Linked DNA regions of Drosophila melanogaster. The protein of the gene in region 2 interacts with the protein of the main gene of each other region in a pairwise test. Each region holds a gene or a part of one and is shown on either strand. Other genes may lie near its edges.

The links.
Region 1: the proteins of insb (region 2) and CG13896 interact in a two-hybrid assay, tested with the Drosophila melanogaster proteins (one large-scale study listed by BioGRID).
Region 3: the proteins of insb (region 2) and CG43861 interact in a two-hybrid assay, tested with the Drosophila melanogaster proteins (one large-scale study listed by BioGRID).
Region 4: the proteins of insb (region 2) and Acp32CD interact in a two-hybrid assay, tested with the Drosophila melanogaster proteins (one large-scale study listed by BioGRID).

Annotation. Positions count from the first base shown.
Region 1 is NT_037436.4:707,608-715,246, reverse strand, and holds CG13896 (uncharacterized protein), read left to right. Parts: upstream 1-3,396; 5' UTR 3,397-3,489; coding exon 3,490-3,502; exon of another isoform or gene 3,503-3,559; coding exon 3,560-4,305; 3' UTR 4,306-4,427; downstream 4,428-7,639. Other genes in the region: CkIIalpha-i3 (CKII-alpha subunit interactor-3), read left to right, coding at 4,890-4,937, 5,000-5,509, 5,634-5,690, 5,753-5,914, 5,964-6,035, 6,093-6,167, 6,224-6,256, 6,319-6,537; CG13895 (uncharacterized protein), read left to right, coding at 7,346-7,357, 7,548-7,568, 7,625-7,639.
Region 2 is NT_033778.4:17,472,698-17,480,389, reverse strand, and holds insb (insensible), read left to right. Parts: upstream 1-4,117; 5' UTR 4,118-4,423; coding exon 4,424-4,954; 3' UTR 4,955-5,176; downstream 5,177-7,692. Other genes in the region: veil, read right to left, coding at 1-58, 123-273, 331-566.
Region 3 is NT_033779.5:20,012,109-20,021,282, forward strand, and holds the start of CG43861 (uncharacterized protein), read right to left. Parts: upstream 5,175-9,174; 5' UTR 4,712-5,174; intron 1-4,711.
Region 4 is NT_033779.5:11,012,463-11,020,103, forward strand, and holds Acp32CD (accessory gland protein 32CD), read left to right. Parts: upstream 1-3,157; 5' UTR 3,158-3,182; coding exon 3,183-3,941; 3' UTR 3,942-3,961; intron 3,962-4,027; 3' UTR 4,028-4,109; downstream 4,110-7,641. Other genes in the region: Samuel (SAM-motif ubiquitously expressed punctatedly localized protein), read right to left, coding at 1,738-2,190; CG14913 (uncharacterized protein), read left to right, coding at 4,710-5,893, 5,962-6,277. UniProt on the Drosophila melanogaster protein: Responsible for physiological and behavioral changes in mated female flies.

The DNA.
Region 1 (7,639 bases), on a different chromosome or scaffold from region 2:
ATCCATAAGTCAGCCATAGATGGAGATGCAGGGAACACATGTCGGGTGTCTCGCAGTTCCACGAGTTTCTCGAGTACATTGTGTGACTGACTGGCAACCAGGTGAATATGGCAACAAGCTCAAGCCCAGTGCTCAAAATGCAATGAAACAATCAATCAAAGCGCTGAAAGAGGCTTGTCGAGCAGATCGGAGCACGGAGCATAAGGCTATGAGAGGGAGCTGGAGCTCCGAGATCCATGAGAGCTGCATGTATGTATGTATTGTAGTAATGGGCCTGGCCAACCGTCTAACGGTGGAACTGCGCACAAAAGGCACAAAATCAAATTACCGGCAATGATTAATCAATCAGCACGGGCACTGTGCTTTTCTGAGATACAGCAAGCGAATATCAATCTCAAACATCCCATTCCAATCTATGCACTTATGCTGGCTATACACTTTTGTCAAACATTCATTTAATACCTTTGAACATTACACTTATACAACACGCATTTATTATTTAAATATGTTTTTTTTTTTTGTCTGTTGGTGAAATGTCCATTAATCAATTGATTTGAAACGGACCACAGAAAACTCTGCATTTGTATACCCCCTATTTTCCCGGTGTGGTGGTCATAAAGCCACCGCATGAACACGATCTTTGCCGCTGGCCTCGTCTGGACCCGCTGATTGTGGGTGTGTGTGCGGGTGAGTGTGTGTGCTGGCCAAGTGGGTGCGTTCTCGCAGCTGGATACCCGACGTCCAAGTCCAAATCCAAATCCAAGTCCAAGTCAGAGCCGAACTGCCAGCAATCACGATCCGATCCGAGCCAAGCCAAAGATACATACATACGGCAGCACACACCTGCGAACTCTCACTGCCCGCATTCCCCTTGCCACTCCCCCCAACACATGCCACACAGCCCCACGAAAGCCCCCAGCCTCAGCAACATCCCATGCTCCATAGAGCGGGCACATAACCATGCCCATTCCGTATCCACGTGTGCGTTCTGGCCGCCTTCTGGCAATTGGCAGTACCAATACCCAATACCCAATAACCGATACCAAAACCAAATGCAACTCCAAATCAATGCTCCTTGTGGCGGCGGCTTCTTCCCAAAAAAGGTTTGTGCTCAGCGATCGTGCCAAAAATGGGCTTGCAACTGGAATTCGCTTTTAGCCAAGCAACATACTCGAACGTGTGGGGACCAGGTCTAGCATCTCAGATCCTGCTCCGGCACCAACTAATGCACTCTAAGAAAATGTGACATTCTTTACTCATATATTACAATAGAGAGAGAGAGGCTATTTCACAGTGATTCTACAGAGGCTCGTCGCACACAGGCTCGTTTTTCTTCGAGTGTAAGGCCTCTGGCCGATCTGCCAAACTACCAAGTGCAGGTGGCGATTGGCCAAGACCAAAACCAAAACGTCGATCGAGAGACCAGCTGGTGTGAATAGCTAGAAAGTTTTAGTGCCTTACCCCTCATCTATCTATAATCCAATCATTTCGTCCTCAGATCGTGAGAATCGGTGCGGCAGTGCGAAATTTATTTGTGTGCTGACCAAAAACAAATGCCGCATGATTTCAATTTATGGCCATCTAATGAAAATTTGACAAATAGCAAATGGGTAGGCTCTGGATTCGGGGCCAATAACATACATCATGATCATTTCGCTGGCGAAAAAGCTGACTTCCGTCAATTGATTGAAATGCCTGGGCCCAAAATGCATACAGTCACAGTCCCGATCTCGATCCCGATCCCGATCTCGGTCCGGATCTCAATCCGAATCCCAAGGAAATCGCAGATCTCGAGCAGTCTGTCAAAGTCCCCGCATCAAGTTGTTGGCTGCTCCGATTTATGTCTGCTCGATGGAGGCAAAGTCGTGACCCGCGCGAGCATTGAACTCCCAGTGAACCGATCTGGTCTACTGTGGACCTCGGATAATTTGGATTTGGCTTAGGACTTACACAGAGAAAAATGAGTATCCTGAAAGAAGCTGCATATTTTATAGCCATGTCGTAGATTTTAGTTATATTCCGATTATTTTCAGTGCTTGGGTGAGATGTAAGCCATAAAAGAACAACTCACCAGTCAGTTGTTTAACGATCTCACCTTGGCTTCCACGGTGCGACTTGGGGATTTGTGGCCCAAAGGCAGCGCCACACATTTAAGCGAAATGAATTTGAAATCCGCCTGCACGAAGTGCAATTTTCAACCAGTCGGCCCGAAAGCCTTATTACTGTGGGAGCTGTTCAAAATAATGAAGCCATTGCCATGGGCAGACCGTCAAAATATATAGGGTCCAAAGCGGCCCCGAACCATTGTCAATCATATTCGAGAGTCTATTTTCCCACATTGCATGCCCCACTGATCGCGTTTTGGTCCAACTCTTCATGGGAAAATCAGTGAGCTGGCTTCGCCTAGTTGCGCAACAATTATTTGGCTCTGGTTTCAGGCCTTTATTTGTAAGGGTCGTCTGTAGGGACGGTCCACACACCTTAAACGAGGTTGCGCTCCGCTGAACCCCCTACCAAAACATTGTTAAAAGTCACATGCCGGGGTTGTAACTACTGACTGCTTTACGAACTACCGAGTTAGCCCTTCACGGTTATTATCTAGGCCAAAACGGAAGTGCGCTTCTCGAGATATTCTAACCAAGTTTTTCACACATCCACCTCGGTGCGCAGGTGTTTCTAGAAAAAAAGTGCCAATTGTGCATATGTAAATTCCCTTTTTATTTGTGGCGGAAATTAAATTTAGGAGACGCTCGATTGGGTTGATACGGAAAATTGGGCATAGATAGTCCACGATAGGACTTAGCCTTTTTGACTAACTTTTTTCTTACCTAAAACTTACAGATTAGTTTATAAAAGATTATAATAGAAATCACTGATAATCTTATATAATTTGCTTAACAAATTTATTACTACAAAAATCAATATTGGTTTATTAAACTTTTTTTTACTGTGTATACTCGAGTATACGGTACCCGGTTATTTTACATTTATACTACTGCGCCCCTATCGACGAACTGTTTGGGCGACATCTAGCGTCTGTAAATGAAAGTCGCATTGCCGGTAGATGGCAGCACAGTAATAGTTATGTGCTTATTTGTAATGTATGTAGGTCCATTTCAATATTAACTTTCTATAATTAAGTTGCGGGAGGTCTCAACCTGCGGCAAGTACTCACTAAATCCTTACTGCGAGATTTTTAAATTCAAAAACTACATAATGGCAATTAAATGAGGCTAAGATGAGTATTTATATAAAATAAATGTTCTCTTCGGTAGCGAGTATTGATATAGATTAGGCAAAAAATCCATTTTCAAAAAACGAAAGCCTATTCCCATCTTTGTTTCGTGCAACCTTTTCGATAGTTATCGATAGAGAAAAATCGAAACACATATGTTTGGATCATGATACCTTTCTCTTACGCCGTCCGAAAGAACTGGCAGCCTGGGAAACAAAACTTATTCGTCATCAACTGAATAGCTATTGTAAACAATGGATACAAAGTGTGAGTAAAAAACATAAATTCAAGAAGAAAACTATATATATACTCACAATAAGCCAGCTTACGAAAGGAAGTGGTGTACATCCAACACCCGACTTTTATTGTCCCTTTACAATGAACGCCAAGCTGATTTTCGGGATCCGAAAAAAAAGATCAAGGACATTTGGGGGGAAATGGTCGTTGCCCTTGAAAGCCAGGGAATGACAGATATCGATGCAGTTCAGCTGGATCGAAAATTTAGGAACCTGAAGAAGACCTACTATAGCATAAGGAGCAAGCTCCTGGCGAAGGTACCGCATTTCCATCCAAACTGGCAGTTCTACGACGAGATGTCCGAAATTCTAAAGGATGACCCTGTCCCACCGCCGCAGGAACTTTCCATCAATGATTTCGATGAAGCGGTGGTCAGTTTGGAGACCGGTATCCAGAAAGGCAGGATGCTGTCTATGGGCACCACTGTCAGCACAGTTATTCCCCGCCAAATGCGTACGTATCGCAAACGAAAGCAGCCATTGGATGATGTCGATATCAAGATCCAGAAGGACTACGAAGTGCAAACGGATCGGCAGCGGGATGGGGAACAGTTTACAGTCTTTAATGCCGCCGAACCCAATACTAATGATTTGTCAGAGTCTGCGGCCGAGATCTCCATCAGCAACGACGAAGAGGCATTGAGACACCTAAGAGCGCTCCAGGAGTACGCCATGATCCATGATAATTTCAGGGCCATAGGACTGCTAATACAGGTGGAGCACGCCATTCAATATCCAGCCCAGATCAAGGACTTCGAGGTGGATCAAACGTAGTGTCCTTATAAACAAGCACGTAATCTACTGGAAAAGCAAAGATAAGATAAGGCACATACCTAATTTATACCTCTATATTTAAGATTTTAATATTTTATAATATATATACTTTAATTTACTTTATTTAAATATGGTTCATGCACTTGCTAACACCACTGAAAAATGAATCTGGTTCTAAACAAATCTGGCTTGGGTATTGGCTAAAATATTGCGCTGTGGCAATACCGTTTTCTAAAACCTATAGTTACAACAATCTAAAGGAATTTCACAAGAAAAACCAACATTTCTGAAATCTTATTAGTATTTTGAAGAGTAACAAAGTGAATCCTGCCGAGATCAACGCCGATCTGTAAGCAAGTTCGTCTTGGAAATTGACAAAAACCGAAAAATCTGGCAGCACCAATATGACACTAAAGGTTCAAGAAAAGACCTTCGGTTGCACAAAATAGAAAATTCAAACATAATTGAAAAGAATTAACTAGTATCGTGAAAACATGTAATACAGTTAATAAAAAGTTATAGTATTATGCAATATTGATCAAATGAAGCAAACTTTATCGATAACTTCGAAATTGCAACCCTAAATGCATCGGATGGGCAATACCAATCTGAAGTCTACAAAAAAGCATATTGTGGAAGTCTAAGTTTTGTTAAATTTATGGAAAAGGAATCCAATTTATCGGACAACTTGCAGTCCCGGTTATTTGCACTGGGTCCTGCCCCGCCAGGATTTCGTCCACCGGATGCTACCGCCTTTGCCACAGCGGAGTCAAATCTTCGTAATGCCATCCGCTACCTTAATGATACCTATGGCGAGCTCGATCAGCTGCGCACTGTCATCCAGAAGGAGAAGAATAACTCGAAGCGTACGTCCTACAAGGCGCAGTCCATGATGCTTGCCATGCAAGTGATACGTTTCAAAGGACTTATTGGGAAGTACAGGGACATTCTGATTGGCCTGCAGGATGCCGAAATCATCAAGGTCAAACAATACATAGAGCAAATGGTGGAGATGAGGAACAAAATCCAGGCAAAGACCGATCCCACACAGCGCGAGTTCCAAGTGGGCAGCTCAATCTCACTGGTGCAGGAACAGCGCAAGACCAAGAGAATCTGCCGCAGGTGGCGGGATCGCCTGGTCCAGCTGACGGAGGCCAAGATGGACAAAACTGAGCAACTTACTGAGAAACCAAAGCTGATCAATGTAAGAACCGTTACAAAAGAACTTATACATATTTTCATTGCGCTTCCAATATCCATCCATGTTTTCATGAAAACTCTCATCGAATTCTGATCGAATTTCGACTGAACTCGATATGCTTTTTTAGAAACCTAGAAATATGTTAAATGCAAAAACCAACAAGTGGAAGGAAGCTGTAAGCTTGGTGAGTATAGCCAAACATATAAAGGATAAGTTAAATGCTAGTAAATATAAAACTAATCCTAGCAACAAAGCGGTCTAATTAAAAGTGGCTGTAAGAGGTGTGAATACCTAAGAAAGCTGACTAAGAATCGTCCATCCAAACTTTGTAAGGTGTGTAAAAAATGGTCTGATGATGAAAAAGCAAAAGCGGCAGGAAATAAGAAAGCCAACAAAACGCCAATAATGGTATGACACTATTGAAAAGTCGCAACATAAATTAATACTATTATTGCAGGCGAAGTCGAAAAAATTAGAAGTACGCGTGCGTACGGATTCTGAAGAAGCTATAATTAAAATAGAGATAGAGGTGGGTGTGTACAAGTAGATCAACAGTAACATTAGCACTTATTATTAATTTTCTTAGCATGGTGAATTTACCGATGAAGAGGAAATTGGGTCATTGGAAAAGGAAACGACCTTAAAAGATGAGATCAAGGAGGTTAGTTGTTTCTTCAACCTGAAAAATGTGTTTAATTTTGGAATGTTTTTTTTTAGACTGTTGAATCTCACGACACGGCAGCAGTTGAGGTAAGTAAACAGGTCCTTGGACTGTAATAGAACTAACGTAACGATAAATGACTCAATGACAGGAGGAAAATGAGACCAGTCAAGACGATGTGGACCCCAAAGTAGTCGCTTCCTTACAAAATTCACTGAAATCCATCGACTGTAAAAATATGGCCTTGGCCTACGTGAAGGTCTTACAGGAGTACGCCATGTTAAATGATAACTATCGGGCCATTGGACTACTTACTGAAGTTGAAAAATCAGTTTTAAATCCGCCTCAGAACGAGGATTTCGATCTATGATCTTATTGACGCCACAAAAATAAAGTTTAGTTTTTATATGTAATCTACAATTAAAATGTTCGTGTGTCCTGCCTTTGAGAGTCAAGACCCAAAATGTGTAAATAATTGTAATATGCGAAAAGAGTTTATAGAGTGGAATAACCAACAGGGTCCCACTTAAATGTGGTAAACGTTAAATTAAGCACTAGATATAATTTGAGCAAAAATAGCTTTATATATATGTATGTGTACATATCAAACCAGTTTCAGCTCAGATTAGGTGGTAATGCGATTTGTGTTTTTCGGCATGTTAAACCAGTTATAGCTGCTTTAGCGAGAGAATATTTACTCTCGATCCGAAAATAAATCCCATACCGCGAACGAATACCACCACGATCGGAATCGGAACGTGGGAAGTCGGTTTAGATCGCGAGAGAAAGAGCGGAATGTCTCTCGCAAAGATACGGTTTTTGCCGCTCCGCCAAACGGAGGAGAGTCCAGATCTCTGCAATGTTCGGACCGCATGCTCAGTCATTGAGTTGCACTCGCTCTGGCAACTTTAAACACGTGCGACCGCACATATTTTCTGTTTAATGTGCCTAAAAAACTGCTGTATATTTTCAACAAAGTGTACTTTATGCTCTAAGCTTTCCGACTGAGGTATGTAAACAAGATTTCTAGCTCTTCTCTGTATAATAACTATTTCGTTTTAATTTCATTGTTAAAGGAACAGAATTATATTGGTCACGTGAGGAGGGGGGGCCAGACTGGGAGTGCGAGCACGCTAAGAGAGAGTGGAGAACCTGAAAGTGTGAGAGCGGGAGTGGAAATGTACTCTGACGTAAGTATACTTTCGTAGTGAGTAAGTGAGAGTGCAATGCTTCGTTTTAGTAAAATCTTTTGAAATTTGTTATCTCTGAGCTAAAATATGCGAGACCCATTTGCGAATAAGAAGAGGGCATGTTTTGTAAATATACATACATAAATATGTATAAGGCATTCATGATATACACGCATACAGATAATTTGAGTTCTGTATCAATAACATACATGTAACTAAGCCTAGAAATCGGATTTTATAAAGAAATAAACCATGATTCAATTTCAGAATGATGACACCCAC
Region 2 (7,692 bases):
CATTTAGGAAGGGCACCAAACCCTCAACATTCTGATCAAACTCATGGTTGCCCAGAGACTATTGAAAGGTATATTGATGAAATATAGTAAGAGAATGCGGAAAACAATAAAATAATAGTTACAATAGCATCTGGCGATAGCTTGTTGAGGAAAGCACTGGCGATCTTGTCCTTATAGACGGTGAACCAAGCAGTTCCGGTATAGGTGTCACCTGCATTGAGATAAAACACTGGAGTTCCACCCTCCTCCGCCTCCTTGCGATACTTTCGCACCCTAGTTGAAGTTCATCAGCATGAATAGTTGAACTCTAGGCAAACTGACCGCACTTACTCGTATGCCACCCTGGCGAATCCTCCGTAGCACTGATCCGTATTGGCCTCCTCCTTGGAGCAGGTGCCACTGGTCACACTCGTCTGCTCGAATCGGGCGTGCATGTCATTGTTGTGCAGAATGATGAACTCGGCGGCAACTTCCGCCCGGGGTGCAATGGGATTCGGCTGCACAGGATGAATCAGTAGAGCCAGTAGGCAGCATGATCCGATAAGGAGACCACGGGCAGGTAACATTTTGGTGCTGGAACAATAAACACAACAATCGCTGATAAGTTATCACACACGAAGGGATGAAATGTGGGTGGATAATCTTCGGTGAATAAGCACTGATTCGCGCACGGCAACTGGTTTGTCATAATCATTGTTTTTGCACTCATGAAAATCTAAAAATTTTAATAAAAAATTAATGCACTGCCACTTAATGAAGCGTGTTTTAAGTATTAGTTCGTTTTCTTATCCGAATGGTTTTACACATGTAATGGAAACACTTCAAACGTTGTTAACCAGATTTTCTACTTAGACTGTTGAAGGTCCTTTTCGACCTTATCACCAATCCACTGCTGAGAGGCAAATATTTATCAATCACGAGCGCGCAGAAATCGCAATTTATAGTTTATTGGGTGTTTTAAATCTAATCGCCGCTTATCACTTTGCGTGTGCAAAAAAAAAACACACAAATCCCCAGCACATTCTGCTCGACAAATTTCTGCCATCGCGGTCCACTTCACTCGGTCAACTGGTTTTCGATTGAACTCGGAAACGAGCTCGAACTTCAGCTTGCTCATGGCATTGGCCTAAAAGCTAACTCGGCTCAAAAAGGCCCGATCGATGTTACTTCAGAAGCAACGAATTACCAAATACCAACGATCGCTACTCACATGCACTCGTCGCACGGTCCGCGGGCTAACTGACTGACCCACCAAATTGGCTGAGAGTGCGAGAACCGTTATTAGCCGAAAACATAAAGCCGAGTACCTTAAACAGCAAAACCGAAATTTACTGCCTCGCGAAGCGGACTGATTACGATAAGGCCTCGTATTGCGATTGCGGGTTAAATTGGCTGAGAATGACAATGCGATGCTCTTTCTGCATTACCCCATTGTATTTCGATGTTTTGGAAGCCATCGGAAGCAGACATATCGCGCGATAATCGTCGGTTATAGATCAGATAATGGTGAATTGGCTATATATTTATCTGACTCATAGCCACTCAGACAGAGGCAGGTAGTTGGCCCAACAGTTGTCTAAACACAACGTGACATTCCCACGCCGAAATATGGATTGTACTAAAAAATATATACAGTGCACGCTCGCTACGGAGAATTTACATTCGGCGTAACTCTAGCATCAAACAGCATTTACTTGTAAGTGATCTAAACACATGAATCAAAGATCACGCATTCGAAAGGATATTTTTGGAATATCTATATCTGTAATTAATATTTGCACTTTTGTTTCATAGTAAAACATTTTCACTGTCACGAAATTATATGCAACATGGTTGCTTACCTATATTTAGAGTATTTACTGTACATGTTTATTGACGCACCATTAACAACAGTCCGCCGATTGTGCCGAGTAAGCCGATCTTTGTTATTAATTTCCCGAAAATTCCAAGCAAGTGTCTTCTGCGAACTTTCAGGCACATTCGATTGATGAACAATGAGGCCTGCTTGTTGCACAGATTTATGGCCGCCAAAATGGAAGGATAGATAAATATTGGAAAGATGAATTTCACTCAACAGCCGCGTAAATTACTTTATGAGTTTACTGCGAAGTTCTACCCACACGAAATGATCACAATTGCCGGGTTTTGGGCCACAGTTCATCCCCAAATTATCCGCTGCCACTTGTCGCGTGCTTCTCAAACTGTTCAATCATATAGTATGTATAATGGCTCAATAGACACACGACAGCTGCGGCTGTGGATAATGTATTTGCTATTTACTATTTGCTGCCTGTGTTCGGGCAAATAACTCAAAAACGAAAGGGAAAGGTACAACTTTCCTGCTCGAGATGTCGCCTAAATATATCCGAAAGATACAAGATACAACAGCAATTGAGTTGGTTCGAAAATAAATAGAAGATGCTTCGGCCAAGTTTAACTGAAATGGGGAGAGGAAAACCAGCACGCAATATTACACAATGTCAAGTGTACGATAAAAATGAGATAAAAATAATATATATGATTCAATTTTGATACGCCCTTAACAACATCAAGTGCTTATCAAGTAAATAATGTGTACACACACCATTGCCGACATACTAAATGCAAATATCCAATCCATCCATATCATAAGTTCACAGACTTGACGTCTGGGCGTGATTATTTAAATGCCCCTTCCGAAATTGCGAAACAACAATTCGCTGAGATAGTGTCAAATTCGCAGCCCCAAATAAATCGAATAATGCCCAATTTCCTTGACCATAAATAAACATTTATTGCTATCAATGAGATTGTTTCTTTTTTTTTTTCTTGGGACAGGAGATTCTTCATTTATGGTGTCATCTTATATTTCAGCACTCCCCCCTTCCCCCTTCCAACAAACCCAAAATATAAATCCCTTTATTTTAAATTATGGTCATGATTACACAATGCGCGGACATAAACCATAAAGCGAATTATGTTCATTCCAAATTTTGACAGCATTATCGATTAGCATTTTGGGACCACTCCACCTTTACTACGTTAACAATCGGCAATAAAGCCGATAAGAATTGGTTCTCCATGCCAACGGAGGTAAACGTGATTTCGTTCAAACTAACTCATACCGCATACCAATTTCCATGACAACGAAATTCGAAAATTTCTCGCAGTGCTTTTAGGTGTGCACTTATCATTGCAGTGGCAGGTCAAACTAACTCGCAGGGGAAGTGCCGATCGAAGAGATGAATGTGAAGCGTGCCAGCTGCAAATGCTTATCATGGTCGGGCATACCGCACTGGGGAATCTCCTACAAATATGCACATTAAACGAATTTTGTATGCAAATACGAAAATCTATATTCGTAAAGAAGCATCGTGATCAAAGTTCAAGTGATCAAAGTTCACAAACAAAATTTTAGGTAGCTTATTGGTAGAATACAATGCTTAACGGATACGTTAAATATTACCTAAATAGCTTAACTGTCTAACCTGAATAACTTATTCTTTAAGTGCGTCAGCAGTGCACGTTTTGCCAAGAAAAGCAATTTAAGCAATTACATATATCGGTCGTTGTTCGCTAAAACCAGATCGAAACTCATTTGAAATCAACTGAATTAAAAGTCCAGATTCGTTTATTTGTAGCAATTAAGTTAATTCGTCATTAAATTGACAACTTATACATTCAAAAAAAATTCATGAAAATTTATACGCTCAAAACTTGATTACCCAAGATTGTAAGGTATTGATAATTTATTTATGTCTGCTTTAAAATGTAAAAAAAAGAAAATTTGATTAAAATGCTTTATTTTCGCACACACCCTTCAATGCAACCCTATTAAAAAAAAGGACATAGGAAGGTAACTTGGGAATCGGCTATGCCGCACCGAAAGGAAACGGACACGGGACAACAACAACTGAAAGGTCGGAAAGGACGAGCAGGGCGCGCCTGTGATCCCGGGGGGATGGGGTGCAGGACGGATGCACGGAGGAAGGGAGGATATTCGGAGCGCGGCTGCTGCAGCGGCAGAGAAAGAGAGAGAGAGAGAGAGATAGAGAGAGAGAGAGAGAGAGGTAGAGAGAGAGGCAGCGCCAGCTGAGGGTTGCAATATCCTGCTGCTGCCGTTCAGGCTGTGGCCTGTAGCCAGTATCCTGTTGCCCTCCCGCTTCAGCTGCCGCAACTCAAACAGCTGCAACAATTTTTTTTTTTTTGGTTGCCGATGGATTGTTGTTTTTAATTTCCTTGGCGCGGCACATCCCCTAATGCCACTATCTCTGGTCCCTGCCGCATTTTGGGGTTGGAGTCGGCAGTTGCCAGTTGGTCGCCGGGGTGCAGTTGGTCGCAGCTCAGTCGTGGCGATCGCCAGGTGAACGAAGGTTGTGTCGCGCAGGAGCGAGTTGGAAAACCAAACGATTGCAGCTTAAGTCTAGTAGATCATCCTCTAAGCATGTCGGGCAAACTGATCATGAAGCGCAAGCGAGCCAGCCAGGAGGAGCAGCAGCAGGCGCAGGAGCAACGTGTCCAGCCGCAGGAACAGCAACAGGAGCAGCAACCGACTGAAGCGGTTCCGGAGAAACGCCATCGTCCTCTAACTCCACCAGCAGAAGAGCCAGGGCAGAATTGCCCCAACCCGCCAGATGCCCCCAATCGAATCCTTCTGGAAGCGCTGCAAAAAATAATGGAGCTGCAAGCGGAGCTGGATGCCTTTGAGCAGGATCTAAACGATCGAGATGGCTATGCGGCTGCCGGAGCTGAAGCGGAGGATGTTGAGGAAAGTGACGAGGATGCCGAGGTGGCGGCCCAGTTTGCGCCACCGACGCCAGCCCAAAGGAGTCAGGCGGAGGCACTGGGTTTTGCCATGTGTGCCAGAGAAACATTGCTGTTTCTGCAGAGCGAGGGAATACCCACGGAGTCGCCACTCTACCAGACTCTCCTTGGGAAATTGGTTGGGCAAAGCGATGGACTTCTGCACGCCTGAGAGCAAACCGGAGGGCAGGAACTCCTCCTCATTCTAGTCACTTTGCTGCGATCTCATTGCAAGTAAAACGAGAGAGAGAAACCAAGGGTTGCGAACTTTCCGGGGGTGGAAATTATGCAACACAGGGATCTGGGTATTCCTAAGCTATTTACTCTAGTCAATTATTGTAAAGCAATATAAAACACATAAGCAACAACGAAATAAATTATGTATATTGAAAGTAAAACATAAAGGAAGAGGTTTTAATTAAGATTGGGGGGTTCCATCCTAGCTGGGAATAAAAAAACACTCTACTACATCGATTTTCGATACATTTTAAATATATTTATTTATTCATTTAGTTATTACTTGTGTTATTTAATTTTACATATAATAATTAATGAGAATAACTCAATCGCCATATATTATTTCTTTGAATTCATTTTGTAGGTATGTATATCATATAAGTGTATATATTCTTATTGTTGTTAGGGCGGGGTGTTTTTGTTGTTCGGTTATTTCATTAACTTGGTATCATAAATTATCTGGGGGCTTGGGGAATCGCCCTAAAGTAGCATTTGTTATAATTTCATATTAGTTATCTGTATAATTTGTAACAACGATAATTATTTGTAATAAATGGTTGTAATTCCTTTGTATTATCTGTATTACTGATATTTCATTAAAACTAGATTTTAATTGTTTTTAACAATTTAACGTTTCACATGGTTGTATGTAAGTAAATGTTTCTTAAGGTTTTTGGACAAGATATCGTTTTATTCATCTTCTTATTCGAATTCGAGTATATGTTTATTTCATTGCGTTAGCAATGCCAACTTTATTCGCTCGATACTCAAATTAGGTTACATAAATATTAAAAATGATAATATCTATAAATTGGCATTTCAATTGGTAATTTCAGACCGGGAAGGGATCCGTCCATTGCCATCCACTCCCTCCGAATCCCTTCCTACAAACATTTGGCACACTCTCTTGGTTCTACTTAAGCTCTACAGAGAATTCTCATTAATCTAAAAACTAACTAAAGTGAGAAAACAGGAAACGAAATTTTGAGTTTTGGCAACGGATCAAATTGTCGATTACGAGTTATGTTTAGTTTTGTTACTTTTGTTAGTTCAGTGTATAATTAATGGAGACAACTGGACAAAGCAGACGACTCATTTTTGAACAATTGAGGAAACGAAATTTTGGGTTAATTACTTTGCTTTATCCAGCGTCATGGGTTAAATGTGTTAAGTACATTGAATTACATTGTTATTACGTTAATTTTGTATTGAGTTACATTGTTGGTTTAGTTAGAACTTTATATTCGTGTATAAGTAAATGGAGTATTTGTTATTCATACGCTTACGCTTGCGTTTAAGTATTCTTTTTTACTCTGTTATTGTTTTCGTATCTGGTGTTTTAATAAAGTAATCATTTGCAGCACTATCCACTTATGGACATTGTTTCACAATAAACTTGTATATATTTTGTAATTTGTTAGTTATTTGTAGTTCTTTAGTATTCGATATATTAATTCTGAATGCTCGAGTATTAGATAATTTTTGTTAGGGTTATTCTGTTACCTTTCGTGTCAACATGGGGTTAGTCGATCTCTGTTAATTATGTAAATATTAGAATTTGTAAGTGTATATATATATATTCTTTATCTGTATCGTTAGTTTTGTTAAATATATGCATATATAAATAAAATTATGGTTTAAGTGTGCCCTCTGTATTTATTATTATATTCTATTAAGTTAATTAATCTCATAGATTCTGTCTCTACCGACCGTCAGTCGGGTCCTTCTTTCCCTATACATAGCTTTGTCTTGCTGTATCAACTGGATTCGCTCTGTATCATCTGTACGCCAGACTATCCCAGCTCAACTTTGAGCTGAGCCGTGTGCTTAACTACTGATCACTCCCGACCGAATACAGCTCCCACTAATCATTCAGGCTCTTTAGTATCTTTAAGATGGTTTGTAAATAGAGATAAAAAACTGGACACAGTTTCGTCTGTGTTTTATAGCCAACGCGAAAGTATGGTTTTCGATTTGTTGATCCAGCCTCATCATCATTAAACGTTAATCCTTGCACGCAAAAATATATGTATAAATATATTTGTTATGTATATGTTTTGTATGTGGTATATATCGTAAAGTTCATTTTGTCCATTTTGTAAATACTCCTCCTACGCCTTCCTCTAATCTTATGAACTCAAGTGTACAAAGTTTCTGTGATGTTCATGTTGATGTGATTTTTCGATTTGCTTGTTCTGCTTGTAGTTCTTGTATCTGTTGGGTTCAGAAAAACTGCACGGGCAAGAACGGAAATGTGCCAATATGTAGCGAAGGATTAGCAGGTCTGTAAGAGAATGTTAATTTGGATTTAGAGAGATGTTCTTGTCTTTGATTTGCGGTGTATAATCGAAAGGGTTTTTTTTGCGTTTTCGGATCAATGCAAATCAATACGGGAACTTTGACGGATAAGCGGAGAGGTATATGTATGTTAGAAGCAAGCAAGCGGATTCACATAAAGCCCGTGTATTCATTTGCATTGTCCAAAGACATCGATTTAGTGTGGGTTGTGTGCAAGGACGAAGGAGTTCTCTTCTGCGTTCGATAATATCGCATTTCAATACCTTACTAAGAGCATATTGGGCACTGAAGCGGTTGTGGTGGTGTTGTTGCTGTGGTTTTTACTGCCTAATGTGTGATTGTTGATATTGTTGCTGTTGGCACTCTTTTGGCCAT
Region 3 (9,174 bases), on a different chromosome or scaffold from region 2:
AGATTTATTGGGCAAATCAGAACATTTATTAGCTTTTGATTACCACCAGCACACCCTTTTGATATAAATATTTCACTTCATTTCAGTTCACAGAACATGGTGGCAAGCTGGTGGGTCAGCAGCATTTCTATGGATATTGATGGATGGACCCCCTGGCAGCTGAAAAGCCGACTGAACTCAATCAAAGCGTGACAGAGAGTGCCAACTGCACGGGAATGGGATGAATGCTCAGGGACTCACGCTCCAATAAAGTAAGCATATTCATAGAAGGGCCAAGGGCTGCACTTCACTTAATACAATTTTAAACATGTTGTTTTCCCGCCCCATTTACCTGTGCCCAGTTCATCAGTTCGTTTACCTGATGCATTCATTCTCCCCGCCAGAGAGTCATAAGTTCTAACATAGAGCAAATCGTGACAGCTAGTCACTCAAGCGGACCCAGAAACGAGGGGACCCCCTTGAGCCACCAGAGGCATTTGTTATTAAAAAGGGTTAACTCCGCAGTGTTGGGTACATGCAAAATAAATCATTTTTCGGCATCCTCAACACTCGTGCAACATTTATGGTTATCTAAGCCAGTTGCAGTCCTGCTATAAAAAAGGAAGAAAACTTCCAAATTATGCACACTATCTGCGAAATCAACAACAGGAGAACCAGGAAGCCATCGAGATATAGGGGAAAAATCGAAATGGAAATTCCTTGGGATTAGCATAAGCGTGTTTGAAATGCTCTTTGTTAGCGCCGAAATGGAAAGAATGAAAATTTATTGTGAAAACAGCATTAAGTTAATGAAGCATAACATGGAATCTTGCAAGAACAAAACTTTTCGTGCTCTTTGTTGGGCATTTTGTTTGAGAGAAAAGGGATAGAATTCAAGCTGAAAAGAAGGTTTTTGGGGGCATTGGCATCCCTTTTATGTTTATGCTGTGTGGCCAAACTGTTGCTTTTAGGCATAACGAATATTTATGGCTTATCAATTTTGCAGGACACGTGCGAGAGGAAAAACAAAAGGGTCAGCGACTGCCAAACTCAAAGAAGCCCTTGGGACAACCAAAAATTCAATTAGCAGGCTGCCTAAGAAGATAGCCGCATTAATTGCTGGTAATAGGCAAAAAATTGCGCATACGCAGCATGGGCCCTGAAAGCGAGCATTTTGCATATCCACAGTTCAATGCTTTTGCCAGCAACATTTTAATTAAATTTCAACTCTGACTTTGTGTTTAGCATATTTTGGGTGCCACAACAACCCCGCCATTTCTCCCGCTACCTTCCGTTTGTCAACGGTTGTCCGGTTGCCAGGGAAAAACGCCATCCAAAGGACGAGAGGGGTGGGTGGGCGTGTAGTCAAAGGTATTACCTCCTGGCGTGTCAGAACAGCTTGTTTGTCCTGCTAATTAAAGTTGCGTAAAAGCAATGCCATTGTTGCTGCTCCCTGCAAATACCTTGTGCAAATCAAAGTGACGACCTCGGGCAGATCCAAAGGAGTGACTAGCATTGTTTAGCCACCTGTTCTTTTGGCCTGGCTAAATGGAGGGACTCTTGCCTGCGAACAGCACAACACTTTAATAATACTAATTGGTCGAGCTTCTTGGGAAAGTTTATTCTAATAGATTTGTAAGAGTTAATTACAAAGTGCTCTTGTGAGTGGAGAGCTGATTTAATAGAGGATTTCAATTGTAGCTCTTGAGTTGTGAGGTAGATTAACTGATTGCTTACCTTCTAATGGCTCGTTTGGTGCACTTAGAAAATAAATCTATATATTGCTGAAAATTATAAAATTAAATGATAACTTGAATTATTGCTTTACATGCTATTTTTGAATGCATATCTTCGATTCCTCGAATATTGTTTTCCAGTGTAACATTTCATTTAGAATGACTTCCTAGATTTCCTTACTGACAATCTGACGGATAATTCGTTGACATATTTGCACATTCATAATATTTGCATTGTGTTTGATATTTAAGGACAGATATTTTAATTAGAAAGGGATCAAATTTCGAAGTCGAAGGACGCTGCACTTGAGTGACATTGATACACAATTTTCCAAAATGCTAACCAGACATGTGCACACATTTAAAGCTGCTGTCTCCTCGATCTTGACAGTGCGATTTTCTTTATTGACTGGCACAATTTCCCCAGTTCATAATCAATTATGTCCCATGGCCTCAATAAATGGAAATATTCCCAGAAGAGCTTCGACTGCCAGGTAGCGTGTCAATTAAATGGTCATAAACAAGAGTGACGCCGTTCGACAGACAAAAATTTAAATAAAAATTGGAAAATGAAAAGTCAACACGCTCGACTCAACAGCGGAAACGAAAGCGAGCCCATGTCTCACTATCGATGAGCATCGATGTCTGCGTATACGTAATTTTTCAGTTGACATTCGTTTCCTGACTTTTTCTCAACTATTTATAGCCGAAGTCTGCTTTGTTGGGTAACTTCACTTGTGGTGGCTGCCGGTCTTCTTTATTGTCACCCAGCCATTTGCAGCCATTATTTAAATGGCCCAAATGAAAGAGGAGCAGCTGCGTCTGCGAAAGCCTCCGTTTTGGGCGACGGGCTGTGGATGATATCCCATTTCGAGGAACTCCCGAAAAGGTCGGGACCATATCGTTAGACTCAACTTTAAGTCCCAGCTGCCTAAGGATACTCAAAAATGGCATCCAATTGGCTTTAGATTGGGATTATGAATATAATAGCAAACGATTTGCCTGATGGCTTATAGATGGCAAAACTTTATTCCAAACAGTGATTGCAGTCTAAAGATATTATTAACTATTTTGTAGTTGTTTGTAGAGCAACAAAAAAATTCGGATGTATTTTAATGCAATATGGCTAGCTTTTTACGAATAAAAGAAATAATTTACATGAAATTGTAAAGCAGGTTTATAAATACTAGCACGCACCAATTAATAATAAATGTTTTTTATATGTTTCCTTTGTCTCATCCAATCGTGCACAGAAAATAAATCAGGAAACTTTGGTGACGAACGCCAGTATTCGCAAACTATCCAACATATATTGCACTAAAATGCATGTTTTTCTTGTTTTATCTTATATACATTTTGACTGTATGAGGCCAAACTCAGATTAGGATTTAAAGTACACCTACCTCCTCCCTGGAGGACTTAAGATCGGATGAGTAAATGGATTTGGATTACAAACGCTTCACATCTTGTCTCTGTGTATTCTGATATCCGCTTTCATCCGGACCGAGTGTGGCCCACTTCAAGCGAGTGGCATGCAAATAGGATCGGACCCAGAACGCCCTATTCTTGGCCTGCTCTTTTGGGTCTGGGCCCAGTTCCTTATCTGCCGCGCCCATCTGGGCCTGCCACTCGACGCCGACGTTGTCTAGAGTTGGATTCCCGGAGCGGGGTGCTCGGATGCAGTAGGAATAGGAGTAGGACTGGGCGTCTGGGTAGGAATGGTGCAGGATGAAGCCGGCTGCATGTCTGCAGCGTTTGGCTTAACAAGTGATAAACTTGTCGCTTGTCCGCTCCAAGTCCTTGGACATTTTATTATTCCCGCCTCTGCAGCGAGTGCCCTGTGGAAGCCATTACCCCATTCTCCATTCTCCATTCTCCAGTCACCAGCCCCCAGTCGCCAGCCTCCATTTCGATTCCCCAAGACCCCAACTTGCAACAAGACGCTGCAAATAGTTAAGTACAAATTGCATGGCTAATTTGAGCTGTTGCATAAGGCTTAAGAGCTCTCACGCACACAGACCCCACTTCACATCGTGTTGACAAGTTGACCGTAGAATTAGACGGAGAAGGTGTGAAGTGACAGAAGATTTGGCATGAGTAATGACCGTTGCGAGCTGTGCCCATGAAGTAGGCAGGTTTATTAGCAACTGTCGGAAAATAATTTCCACAAGCACTGAAAATTTGCGGGTTGCTTCCATATAATTCAGAACAGTACCGAGAGTCAAGGAACTCAAGTCCGCCCAGAGTTAACGGCTTAAACAAGACTACAATGTGTACTACCTGGAATTGGTAAATGGCTTCACATGGCCAAATGTACACTTACAAATATAACGTAATTCTACCCTTTTATCCATGCAAACTCAAATTAGCTCACAATATAAACTTTCTATCCCAAAAACTTTTTCGCGACAAAAATTGTCAGAGAGCAGTAGAAAATGAAACAAATAAAACGGAAAACTAAGTAGCTACATTTTGGTTCATACTAACGGAAATTCTGTTTAGAATGTAATCCCGAAAAATGTGTTCACAAAGTGAAGGGAAAAGTTGGTGTGGAGTTATATAGTTATATAGATATAGTTTTGGATTAGTATAAACTTGCAGATGGTCAGAAATGTATCTGATTAAAATCAAAACACAATTTAAAGTACCTGTTAAGCAAGGTAAAGCGAAAAAGTAGCTTGAATATTTATTTTGATTTCTTATATCTACTCCAATTTTAAAACCACATATGTATCTATTAGCGTATCTATTATTTCCAGCTCCTTGAGCGCGCTAATGCGATAAGTATACACGGCAACCACTGGGCCACAATTAACGCAGTTCGAAATAGTTTCACAAATAAAGACAACTAGCACTGATTCCCACACTTAAGTTTCCGTTGTACCCATAACCCAATTCGAGACTTAAGCCCCACTAATTATGATTTATTCCACATGTGGCCAACACCCCCGACCTCAGACCCAAAAAAAAAGCCCATTGAGGCAATTGAAACTCACCAAATGCAAGTGTTTGTTTAGACTTATTTACAGCAGCATTTGTATGCAGCTCGGGAGCGACTTTAACTTCATTTTAATGGTTATATTCACCGACATCGGCCGCTCGTTCGGACTCGGATTGTTGATGTTGTTTTACCTGTTACCGTTCTACAAACGATACGAGCACACAAACACAATCACTGCACTTTGGGGAAGATTTTCCAGAAATATTTTTACAAAACTCCGCGGTACTTTGGCCAAACAATTGGGCTTAAACCAACACAAGCAAATGGGGTTTGTTGCGGCAGGCGAATTTCGACAAAATAATGCTTTACACCTTTACACAACGGACTAATTTAGCATTTGCCTAATGGGGCGCAATGAGGCTTTGTTTTCGATTGGTTTTTTCTCTTTTTTTTTTCAGTGGGCCTGGCCAAAAAATGAATTCAAAAATCGAGCGGGTCGGCAGCCGAACGCGTTGAAACTCGTTTTTAGACTGAGTGGTGAGCTTTATGTTCGCAGTTAGTTACCCGCGCGAAAGCATCGCGAGTTCGATTCGAACATGTTGCCTTGCCTCCGTTCAGTTTTTCTCCTTCCTAACCAGGTGAAAATATAATTTTTAACACAGGCGTATGAGTGATATTCAAATTCGATGTAAAATACTGAACTGTGTAAAGAAATCCTTATTTAAATATCTCATTAATAAGAAATATTTAATGGATATATTTCATTTAAAATTATTTAGCATTGTTCTTAATTCTCACGTCTTTTAGTTTCCAAGACATCCTGTTCTAAGACTCTCTGTCGAAAGATTTACACGGAACTAAATTTCCCTCTGTTATTAGTTTGCTATTTACATACCTAACAAAAACTTTCACATTTTTTAAATCGACAAAATTCATCATCACATGATATTATTAATACTTGATTTGATTTATAAATAATCAAAACATGGTCAATTCTAACCTCTATCATATTTGCATATCAGCTGTTCTAGAAGAGCTCACAACCTAACTATTCACAATTCCGAATCTGGTCACGAAAATGACCGCAGAGGCAGAAGCAAGGGTTCGAGAAGTAGGATTGTTGTTTATCTAATAAAAATAAGTTTAGCCAGAACTCAAAAGTAAAACTCTAAATCTCAATTTTAAGGGAATTGTTATTTTATACTTTAAGAAGAATTTAAGCCCAAGATTGTTGGACTCAAACACCAGCTTGTTCGAATCGAACTTCAACATGCCAGCCCAGAATCGAACATGCTGGCAGGTTGCAATCAAACTATCTATCTATCTAACATATATCTATCGGTTGATCTATCTATCTATCTATCTTTATATCTATCTGTATATCTATCTATCTGTCTATCTATCTATCTATTTATATATCTATCTATCTATATATATCTATCTATTTACCTATCTATCTATCCATCTATCTATCTATCTATCTACCTATCTATCTACCTATCTATCTATCTATCTATCTATCTTACCATCTATCTATCTATCTATCTACCTATCTATCTAACCATCTATATATCTATCTATATATCTATCTATCTATATTATATATTCATCATCCACTCGGCGAATAAAACAAACGACACTGAGCTGCAGTCACAAATGAACTTCGTTCTTCTACCGGCAAGATGCCGTAGAATATGGCCAGAAAATAAAACGGAGCGCGTCCAGTTGGACAAGCACTCACCTTGTTAAAACCGAATCCAAAACCCAGCTGCCTTTACCTGCCAGCCGTGCCGTTTTAAAGTCGCATGATTAAGCAATAAATTCACACCAGGGCAAGAAAACGCAAGGCTTCTAGTTGCAGTCGCAATACCGAAAGAAAAACTGTGCAACTAACTATTTGGCAACATTTTAGGTAAACAAGTAGAAGTGCATTTTCAGCCACAGTTTACTCAAAACTTGAGGACACTTACCAAATTATATTTCATTTGTATAGCATCGAGAAATTTTATATATAAAATTTTTACATCGATTGTATGCAGTTTTCAGGTGTATCTACTACTCCAACTTTGGCGAAGATTTCCTCAGGCTAACGGTGTTTTGTTATTTATAGTAAATGTTACCTTTTGCTCCACTGCTTTCGGCCAGGTTTTCTATTTGTATTTACAATTGATTTGCATTTGTGTAACACTGTTTCCTCCATCGAGGAGCGGAAGCCAGCATCGAAAGAGCGACGGAGAAAGGTGTAAATATTGTGATTATGGTTGAGATTGAGATGTAGGTAAATAATATGGCCATCGGTGTGGGTTCAACAGGTGCCTCAGGACAGGCGATAGTAGTAGTAATAGTAGTAGTAGTAGTTGCAAGATGCAAAAAGAAACATAATCCACTTGAGCGGAGGAGGACTTTGATGCAATCGGTGTTAGAAAAGAACTGCAAGCCAGGAAGTGGGGATAATAACAGGTATATCGTCTTGTGAGGTGACGAAACCCAATCTTGTAGCCAATGAACCCAAGTTTCTATTGAGTTTTCCTGTCTAACCTCATATTAAGTCACAATGTTAGTAGAAAAGTAAATAGATTAGAAGTATCTTCCTTATGGATAAGACTATCTTCCATTCAGCTTAAAACAGGCTTTGCACACTCGGAACGCTCCATTTGAGAACGCTGCTTTAGCCATCTGTACTCGTCGCAATATTTACATTCTAAATGACTTCATTGGCAAGTCAAACAGATTAAATCTCTATTAGTTTTTAAGTGAGCCCCGCCAACGGCGCTCGGCTGGCGTCAATGGACCCCGTCAAGCCGAAGAAGTCGAGAAACCGATCCCGAACCCAGGTCCAAACCCGACCCTGACCCCAAGGCGAGTTTTGGGCACGCCAGTAATGACGACGACGCATTGTTTCCACCGCCGATCTTGGCCATGTCGCTGAGTCCACTTAATTTCCTTTCGGTCTTCTGGCCCTGTGCTGATGATGACTTAATCGGTGATCGGAGTTTTGGCTTCGGTGGGCGTTATAATGATTTATTATGCCGATTGACCACGCACTGTAACAACAATCTTACTAAGACCGACCGAAGTGAAAACCAGAATCGCCAACTCAAGTGGGATTCATTGGGATTGATATACTCTTGTGAAGTGAGCGTACATGAAAGTGGTTTGATAATAGCTCTTGAGCTATTTATGGATTTTATAGCTGTGAATGTGGTTGGTCTGTGTGGATGTGGATATATCATACAAACCATTTGTAGACCCAACCATTCATTTAAAATCGTTGCCAGCTAAGAATTTGTTTAGCAACAAGTTGTCTTCTTAAACGAACATAAACATCCAAGGATTCCCTGGGCAGAATCCAAAAGGTCTGCCATCGGGAACGAGCCGTGAAAACCAGTTGACTGAGATGCAGATTCCCGCTGTCCCACTGCTTTACATTTCTCACTCAAGCCTGTGGTTGGGTGGGTGGCAGGATGGGTGGCCGGATGGGTGGCTGGCTGGGTGGCTAGATGGGGGTGGGAGGATGAGGTGGAACTGTCAGGTGTCCTTGGCTGCGTACCGGCAGCCGGATGATATATCACAAACGCAGACGGGCGGCAGGTGTACGCCGCATCACCCTCGTCATCTTTCTCATTAAGAGGCAGCCAGTCGTTTATTTATGCACTTGACTTGCGTGGCGACTTGGGCGGGCCGGGTCGTTTCGGGGCGAAAGGGGCGTGGCAGCCGGGTGGCTGGATGGAAAAAGACAGGCCAAGAGCCCTAATGAGCATATCATATTTCACACATGTCCGCTCGGCTGCTTAAGCCCATCGTCACCTTTCTGGGCGCCCATTTAACTTTGAGTGCAATCTGAAATTGTTTCTCGAGTGCACTTGTTGTGGAAAAGGGGCGGTGGGGGGGAGGGGCTTTGAAGGGGACCACCCTTCCCGAAAAAGATGATATCCAAAACTGCCAAATGGCCCGGGCATGGACGAGATTATTAACCCGCCAGGAGTCATTTAATATGCCCACCTAACGGCAGCTAAACATGCTCAACTGTCACTCCTCAGAGTCCTGACTATGAGCTCGAAATGCCGTCATAAAACTTCACAAGCATCTGGAAAGTAAAACTTTATAACATGCATTAGCTGTGGTCCTGACTGCTTAAAGTGATTCAAACTTTTCGAACAACAAAAAATTCGTTTAATCTTTTGAAAAGTTTAAGAATAGTAAATGGCTAGCTGATTGCCAAGTGAACGAAGAAATTACTTTGCAACAATAAAATGAAATATTGAAGGATTTACGCTAACGTATTCATGTTTACAGATGCCATTTTGCAATATTTACTGAGTTTAATCGCTATTGGATGGTGTATTCATTATATTTATTTTAAGTGAACTGGGCGGAAGGGCTGGGCCACAAATATCAACATGCTATTTAATAATTCTCATGGCCTTATGAAAACAATTTGATATGTAATAAAAGCACAGAAGCTCGAAACGGAAGCCACCACTTCGAAACTATGAGAATATGTGAGGAACAAAAGTT
Region 4 (7,641 bases), on a different chromosome or scaffold from region 2:
GAAACATACATAAATTATTTACAATTCATTTCCATATTTAGGCAATGAATGGGATGTGTCTTCATTTTGGCTTTTTCAAAAAATTGCACTGACCATCCATCCAGAATTATGGATCTAGTTTAAGGTTAATATACATACATATGTACAGCTGTAACTTGTATTGCATATTTAAGTAGGCATGAAGGGCCGCGAAAGGTTAACGCTTGGTGCTAACTATATTCTAGTAACTAGAAGTACTTACTTCCAACGGAGTATGTATACAAACCGCTTTAGATCTTCATAAAAAAGGAGTTTGCTGAACAGAAGTCGAGCAATTATGTTTCTGCAAGAGGAAGCCGACTTGGCTTTATGGGTTTTCAAGTGGCTAGGGATACTTGAACCAACCGGACAGGCGCAGTGAGTTATGACCGAGTAATGAGAGCCAAGAAGCGCCAACCGGCGATGGCCCACAATATCAGTTTGCGTGTCTCAAGTGCATTGCTGCACAATTTACGCGGCCGATTTTAATAAATTCAATGACTCCAATTTGTAATTAGACGCTGGAAGGTGCGCTGCGTGCTTTTAATTGTTTTGCAGCCATCCTTGGTTGCCTTTTGGCGCAACGGTTCCGCTTGACCCGCGACGCATCGAGCGCTCCGGAGGTCAGCCGCGTGCCCATAACGCCCCAGTTGGAGGCATTCGCCGCCCACCGATCTGCACTGTGCAACATTCAACCAACTTGCAGTGAGAGTTGCGTTTGGGTTTGTATGATAACTGGTATAATTTATTTGCTTCAGCTTGTGAAAAATAGCTATAGTTCATTAAATGTATAAAATAAATCAAGTTCATTCTCATCATGCCTATTTTGTAGAAATATGCTTCTGTTTCTTTAAGTTCATCATTGCATACGGCCTAGGTGTTAGAACATGTTTTTCTGTCTCTCTTTCTAAATGACTTACAACTAATTAAATAAACAATATGTACAATGGGAGCTATAAACTACGTTTTCTATTTGCTTGTTTCGTGTGGTTTCTTGTAATTTTTTTTTTTAACTCGTGTATAGTGTTGTGTATGTGTGTTGGTTTCAAGTCTTGGAGCTCTTAAAAGGATGCATAGTTCTAAAAGTTGAATTTTGAATTCCTCTGTGCATGGCCGCAGATAAAGTAAATATAAATTAATAAAATTTGAACAAAGCAATGGGGGCGGGTCCAACAAGTCTGCCGTATCGTAGGATATATATATTAAAATAAATAGCCTTTTACTTCGATTTGCAAAACAATAAAATTGAATTTTTAAGTTTGCTTCACATATTTCGGAATTCTATTAAATATACATTTACTGACTAGCAGTTAAAAACGAAAAAAGTCATAGAAATAAATAAAATGAATGCAAATTTGCGCTTTGCACTTAAGTACGTAAACGAAAACTCTCTCATTAAATTGACTAATAAATTGATTAATGTTATACAATTATGATTTGTGTGTTCGTGTGTGTGTGTGTTTGCAAATGGAAGACTTTGCGATTATTGTTGTTTCTCACTTAAAGTTTACAACTTTAGCTAGCCATTAAATTACAAATTTATCGTTTAATTTATACAATAGGTATTTCTCTCCCAATCCGAGGCGCCTGTCTGCCTGTCTATTTTTTATTCTCTTATTCCTTTCTTAATTGTGTTGAAAGCTCATTTGGTTCAGCATTTTAGCAGGTGAAATGCAATTTAGTTAGCATAAATACGTATGTGGACAGGATCGCTGCTAACTAGCTGGCGTCCTGCAGTCCGCTGCACGGCAACACTGGCAGCAACATGTTGCTGCTGGGCGAGCTGGCTGTTGCCGCCGGCGGAGCTGCAACATCGCTGCCCTGGTTGCTGCTGCTGCCGCTGCTGCTACCGTTGCTGCCGCCATTGAAGATCTCCGACTTGATGCTGCAACTAGTTGTGGCCGATGTTGCTCCCGCTCCCGCTACCGCTCCCGTAACCGTTCCTGCTCCTGCTGTTGCTCCCGTTGCTGCTGCTGCCCCACCCGTTTGCAGTGCCAGCATTTGTTGCGCCTGCGCAACGCATGCAACACACGGACACGGCCCGCCCAATTTCTTCGCCAATATGGAGCGCAGCTTGAGAGCCGGCCCCAGCTTCATGCCCAGCGAGTTAACCAGGTGATCCTCGGTTAAGAGCGGCAGGCCAGTGCCATCGATGGACTGATCACGAAACGACTGCAACGAGAAGAGAGCCAAAGAGAAGAATTAGTGGGGTGTCTACGGAAGAGTCGGTAGATTTATGGTGGCCATGGCCACTTGCACAGTGGTTAGTGGTTGGAAAAATAGACTGTATCATTTAATTCCCTTTTTAAATATACTTCTAAAATCTTTACATTGTTTAAAATACTAAAATAAATTAATCAGTACATCATCTGAATATCAGATATTGGCTATCATACGATTAGTCATGTACTTATACTTATGTATGCATATTTATCAAAATAACTTTGTTATTTTTGTTATTTTGATCCACTGTGCTATCCACGATAAGTCGTGGGCACAGGGCATCCTGTATTGCATTCTGTATTCTTTATGAGTGTGTGTGTGTCTGTGAACTTGTGATTAATGCGCGGCTTTTAAAATTGTTAATGAAAAACGATTTTAGCCAAAGCTGCCTGACTTGGCTGCCGCACTCGCTGCAGTAGCATTTTCATATTTGCAACGCACGATCGATCGAAAGTGGGCTGAGAGTGGGCACCTCATTTTCCTCCCACTCTCCTCATTCTCCTTTTCCTTCGCCGAGCTGATATCCACTGCCACGCCCCCTGCTGCTGCTGCTGCTGCTGCTGCTGGTGGTGCTGCTGCAAACTCCCCTTTGGGCAAAACGAAGCTCGCGCCACATGAGATTTCTATTATAGATTGGCCCTGATTGAATTCCACGTAGCTCTCTTCAACAGGGGGCCAACCTGTTTCCGCAGCAGCTGCTGCTGTTGCTTCAGCTGCTGCACTGCAGCAACATGGACTAACAACTGCCACTGTTTTTTCAGTTCCCCAGCATATGCCCCCCTTGTTGCGGCACTGCTTTGGACACGCCTTTATCGGACTGCCCCTTTTTAATGGGCAAGAGCAGCCACGGCCACAGTCAAATCGATTCGATTCCGGGCAACGGCGGTCATCTCTATATATAAGGGACGGTCGGACAGCCCGGGCAGCTCAGCGTTGCAGCGATGTGGCGGATGCGGATGCGGCTACTCACTGGCTACCTGGTCCTGCTGGCCCTCGGCCAACTGCCGGAGCATGGCGCTCTGGGCCAGAAGTACTACATGAACTTTGCCTTCAACAACAATAATCCGGATGGCGAAGGAGGCACCGGCGTCGATGGTGGCGGTGGTGGTGCTGGTGGTGGTGCCGCTGGTCCCGGCGGTGGAACCGGGGATTCGCCTCATTCACAAGAAGGTGACGGTAGTGCTGCGACGGATAACCCCAATGACGACCACGCTACATCTGCTGATAATAGTTTGGCTACCGATGGCGATGCCATTGGTAAGAAGGAAAGCGGCGGTGGTAGCGATGGCAAGAGCGACTCCAAAGACTCGAGCGGAGGCAATGATGCCACGCCAGCGAATGGTCATGACGATGACAACGATGACAGCGACAGCAAGGATGCCAAGGATCGACAAGATAAGGAAGAGGAGGCCGGACAGGAGGGGAAGCGCACCGATCACAGCCATCACAGTAGCTACGAGATCAGCATCGACGACAGCTTTGGCGGGCGGTACGTGCGGTCCATTTACGAGAGCAGCGAGAGCCACGGACATTCCGGCAGCAATGCCGGCTCCAATCAGCGGGACAATGGAGCCCGTGAGAGCAGTCAGGAGAACCAGGATGCCAAGGAAGTGGCCAGCGAAGCGCCTGCTCAACGGGCAGGCAACGTGCCAGATGGACCCGAAACTGGAGCCAAGGAAGATGACTACGAGGAGATGTAACACAACCGGGAGATCTGACCGTAAGTGTCTTGGTCGTGAGAAAAAACGATCTGCCCTAACTTTGTCCTTGCCCTTACTTTTGGCAGACAGGTTCGCTCGAGGGACTTTGGAAGAACGCAGACACTTCAATTGATTTTATCATTAAAATGCCAATAAAATTTTAATACCAAGACTGCTTTTTTTAATGAGTAGCAAGTGGAGGGATTAAGTTAAGGGATTAAATAGAACCATATTGAATCAAATGCAAACGTACTTTCATATCGATTGCATTAATAGAAAGCTTGTAAGGCCAAGTCGAATGGGTTATTATATTATATTATTATTATTATTATTATTATTATTATTATTATTATTATTATTATTATTATTATTATTATTATATTAAAGACAGTTCTGGTCAACCGAATTCAAAATCTGAGGATCTGTATACAACACAGGATCACAGGATCCGTTCAGATTATGATTGAATATGTCAATTTTTTATAAAAAATCGGAGTTTTCTTGTAGGTATTTCATTTATTATTATAAATCATAGAATTTAAAATGCTTCTACTTAAATTACATACTATTTTTTTTTTAACTGTGACATCAATTAAAGGTGCCACCGGCAAAGTATCCAAGTCGAATCTAATGGCAATCAGGCAAATCAGTCATCACATTAAAAATAAGTATCTTCATCACTTTTAACAAGATTAGTCACGAGTCAACAGAGCGAGGGCATATAGGGAACCCAGTTACCATATAGGAACCGTCACTTCGGTTCCGGTGATGCTGAAGAACGTAACCATGCTGACCTCCTGCCTGTGGACAACTCTGCCGTGGATTGTCCTGGGCCAGACGTACTACATGAGCTTTATTTTCAACAACTATGGACCATCTAGAATAAGTGCGCCACAACTTGGATTCAATGGTACAGCAAGAGAGCCCGTTGAGGGGGACAATGTGAAGATCAGCTCGGTAGAACATTCAGACGAGGGAGATACTCTGGAGGTCAGCTCATTGGAGCATTCACTGGAGTCCAAACATAACTCTAAAAAGGACAAGATAATGGAAACACTTGAGTTGAGTTCAGAGCATCACTCGCGGGAGAAGAGCGAAACTAAGAAACCAAGCGTGGAAGATAAGGACTTAAGTGATTCGGCTGAGACGATGACGTGGTCTACTACTAAACAGATCAAATCCACAACAATGAAAAAAACAAAGGCCACAACATATGAAACACCTGAAATGCCCAATGAAATCACCACAGAATCCACGATGGCCACTGCTATTGACAAAGAAAAGACAACTGTAGAAATTTACACGGAAAGCCCCAAGGAGAAGTTTACAGATCTACCAGGAATCGGAAAAGAACCATCAGATTCAAACACTCAAAGTTTTTCCTCAAGATCTTGGGAGCCAGTAACACCACACCCATCCGCATTCTTCGATTACCCAGAGGCCACATGTAGCGAGGATATGGATCTACATGAGGTATTTGGCATTAGGCTCGAACGAGATAGGGGTTTGCCCACCAAGATCTTGTGCACATTCAAAAACAAATGGGGAGGTCCTTGGTTGCTAATGACGCGGATAGAGCTACCAGTTCGTGTTCACATGCGTCACTGGTTCTTGGGCTATCTAACTGCGGACTACAAGGACATGAATATCAATTTTTTGGCACTGGCTCATATCATGAACTCCATGCGCACTGCCATGTTGATCCTTGGCCAGGATAAGGACAACAAGTTGGTCTATAATCTGTACGATGATGTGGTCATATCGGCCTTCAATGATCTCTTCATGATGCGAAAAGCCGAATTGGTGGAGGCCAACACGACGGAATTGCTTTTTGTATCCGTCGGCAAGGTATTGAGTTCGTATGCGGGTCGCAATCGATCGTGTCCTTTGCAGGTCCTTGGCAGCTGGTGGGGTCACCATTCGGTGCAGGATATGTACCAGGGATTCTTTTGGTGAGGATTCGAAGATCTTGATCTTTACTTACAACAAATAATTAATTCAAGTAAATCATATTTTTCAGTATTTTCCCCAAGGATCGCATCATATCCAAGCCCGGCTATGTGGCAATTTTTATAAAACCCAGTCTTTTCCCCGCGAATAACACAGCTCTTTACGATCATCCCATATCGACACGACGTCCCTGGTCGAACAACAATTATAATACTAAAATTTTAAATGAAACAGAGAAAAATTCGAAGGCATATAAAAAAGAACAAAAATTGGAATGGGAACGCAACAAGATGGCTGTGCAAAAGGAGCTGGATCGTCGAGCCAGGATCTTTGAAGCTATAGACAGACTGAGGATTGAGGAGGCACAGCGGCACAGGGGAAGGTAGCGTAAGTAGGGGTTTTTGGATATAGGGTCATAAGCCAGGAAGGGGTCATCTCCATTACTCAAGAGAGCGAATATATAAATTAATGTTTAAGTTATACTCATTAGATTAAGCTTATAAATACAAGACTAAGTTGTGTGTTTGTTTGCGTTTTACTTTAGTTTTTGTCTATCTATCTATTACTATAACTCTTAGTTATCACATCTTGCAGGTGACAGTGCATATTCTAACTTTAATAAGCTTGTCTAACTTTCCTCTCAAATTAAGTATTCATTTCTATCCGTATCCGTATTCCCACAAAGCGTTGGTCAAAAGGTAGAGAAGAAATCTAAACGAGCTAAAAAACGAGGCAAAGACCAAGAGCCAACCGGAAATTGGTGGCTTTTACTCCAATGGGCAGCTCTTAGACTCTGTCATAATTTTGCTCGGACAACGTATAGCAACATACAAAAAAAAAATATATATGAGGGGAATCGGGAGGAGCAGAGGCTTTGATTTGGGTGGCTCTGTGGTCATGGTTATGGTTAGCCAAGTGCATTCTAAATTCTGTGCCAATAATTGACAGAGCCAACAATAGCAGCAACAACAAGTTGGCATTAACTAGAGCCCAGGAAATGGCCAGAAAGCCAGCAACAAAAAAAAAAAAAAGAGCACAACTTGGCCATAACAATACGGGCCAAAAACAGATTTGAATTGTGGGTCTCTCAGGCTCTCGGCTCTTGACTTTGAACTCCTTGGCAGAAACAAAAAAAGCAGCAAAAACTAAGGGGCCGAGGCCATCTGTAGATCCATACACGCAATGTAATTGGACTCCAGGTCTCCAGGTCTCCATTCGGTTGAAGGCAATTTAAGACAACACAGGCCAGAAGGAAAATGGGCGGAAAATATGGAAATATGCAAATCATTTGGTTGCATCAAACAAAAGACTTTGCTAGCGTTAGAAGACCTAGTTTAGTCTCATATTTTTTGCTGGCCAAAACACCAAGCGGTAATATAAATGAATGCAAAAACAGAACTCTGAACTTTAATAGCTTTCGCAGCTCGTATCTATTTGACAGACACAAAAGATTCAAACAAATTGATTGAATATTTACATACATAAGTCCAAGAATTGGCAAATATTTGCCATGAAATCAAAGAGTTCACTTGAGATACGCATCTTACGACTCCACCCAAAACCGAATACCCAAAATCCAAATCAAAATCAAATTCTTGGTCTTTTCAATCTAATTAAACTTTATAGTTCAAGTTCGGCTTTTTGTGTCTGACTGTGGTTTTTTTCTGTCTCGGAAGCGTTGGTGACCCAAGTTGACCATGGACAGATGTTTAGATATCAATGAACGTCCAAGATCAATTTGCATATGTAG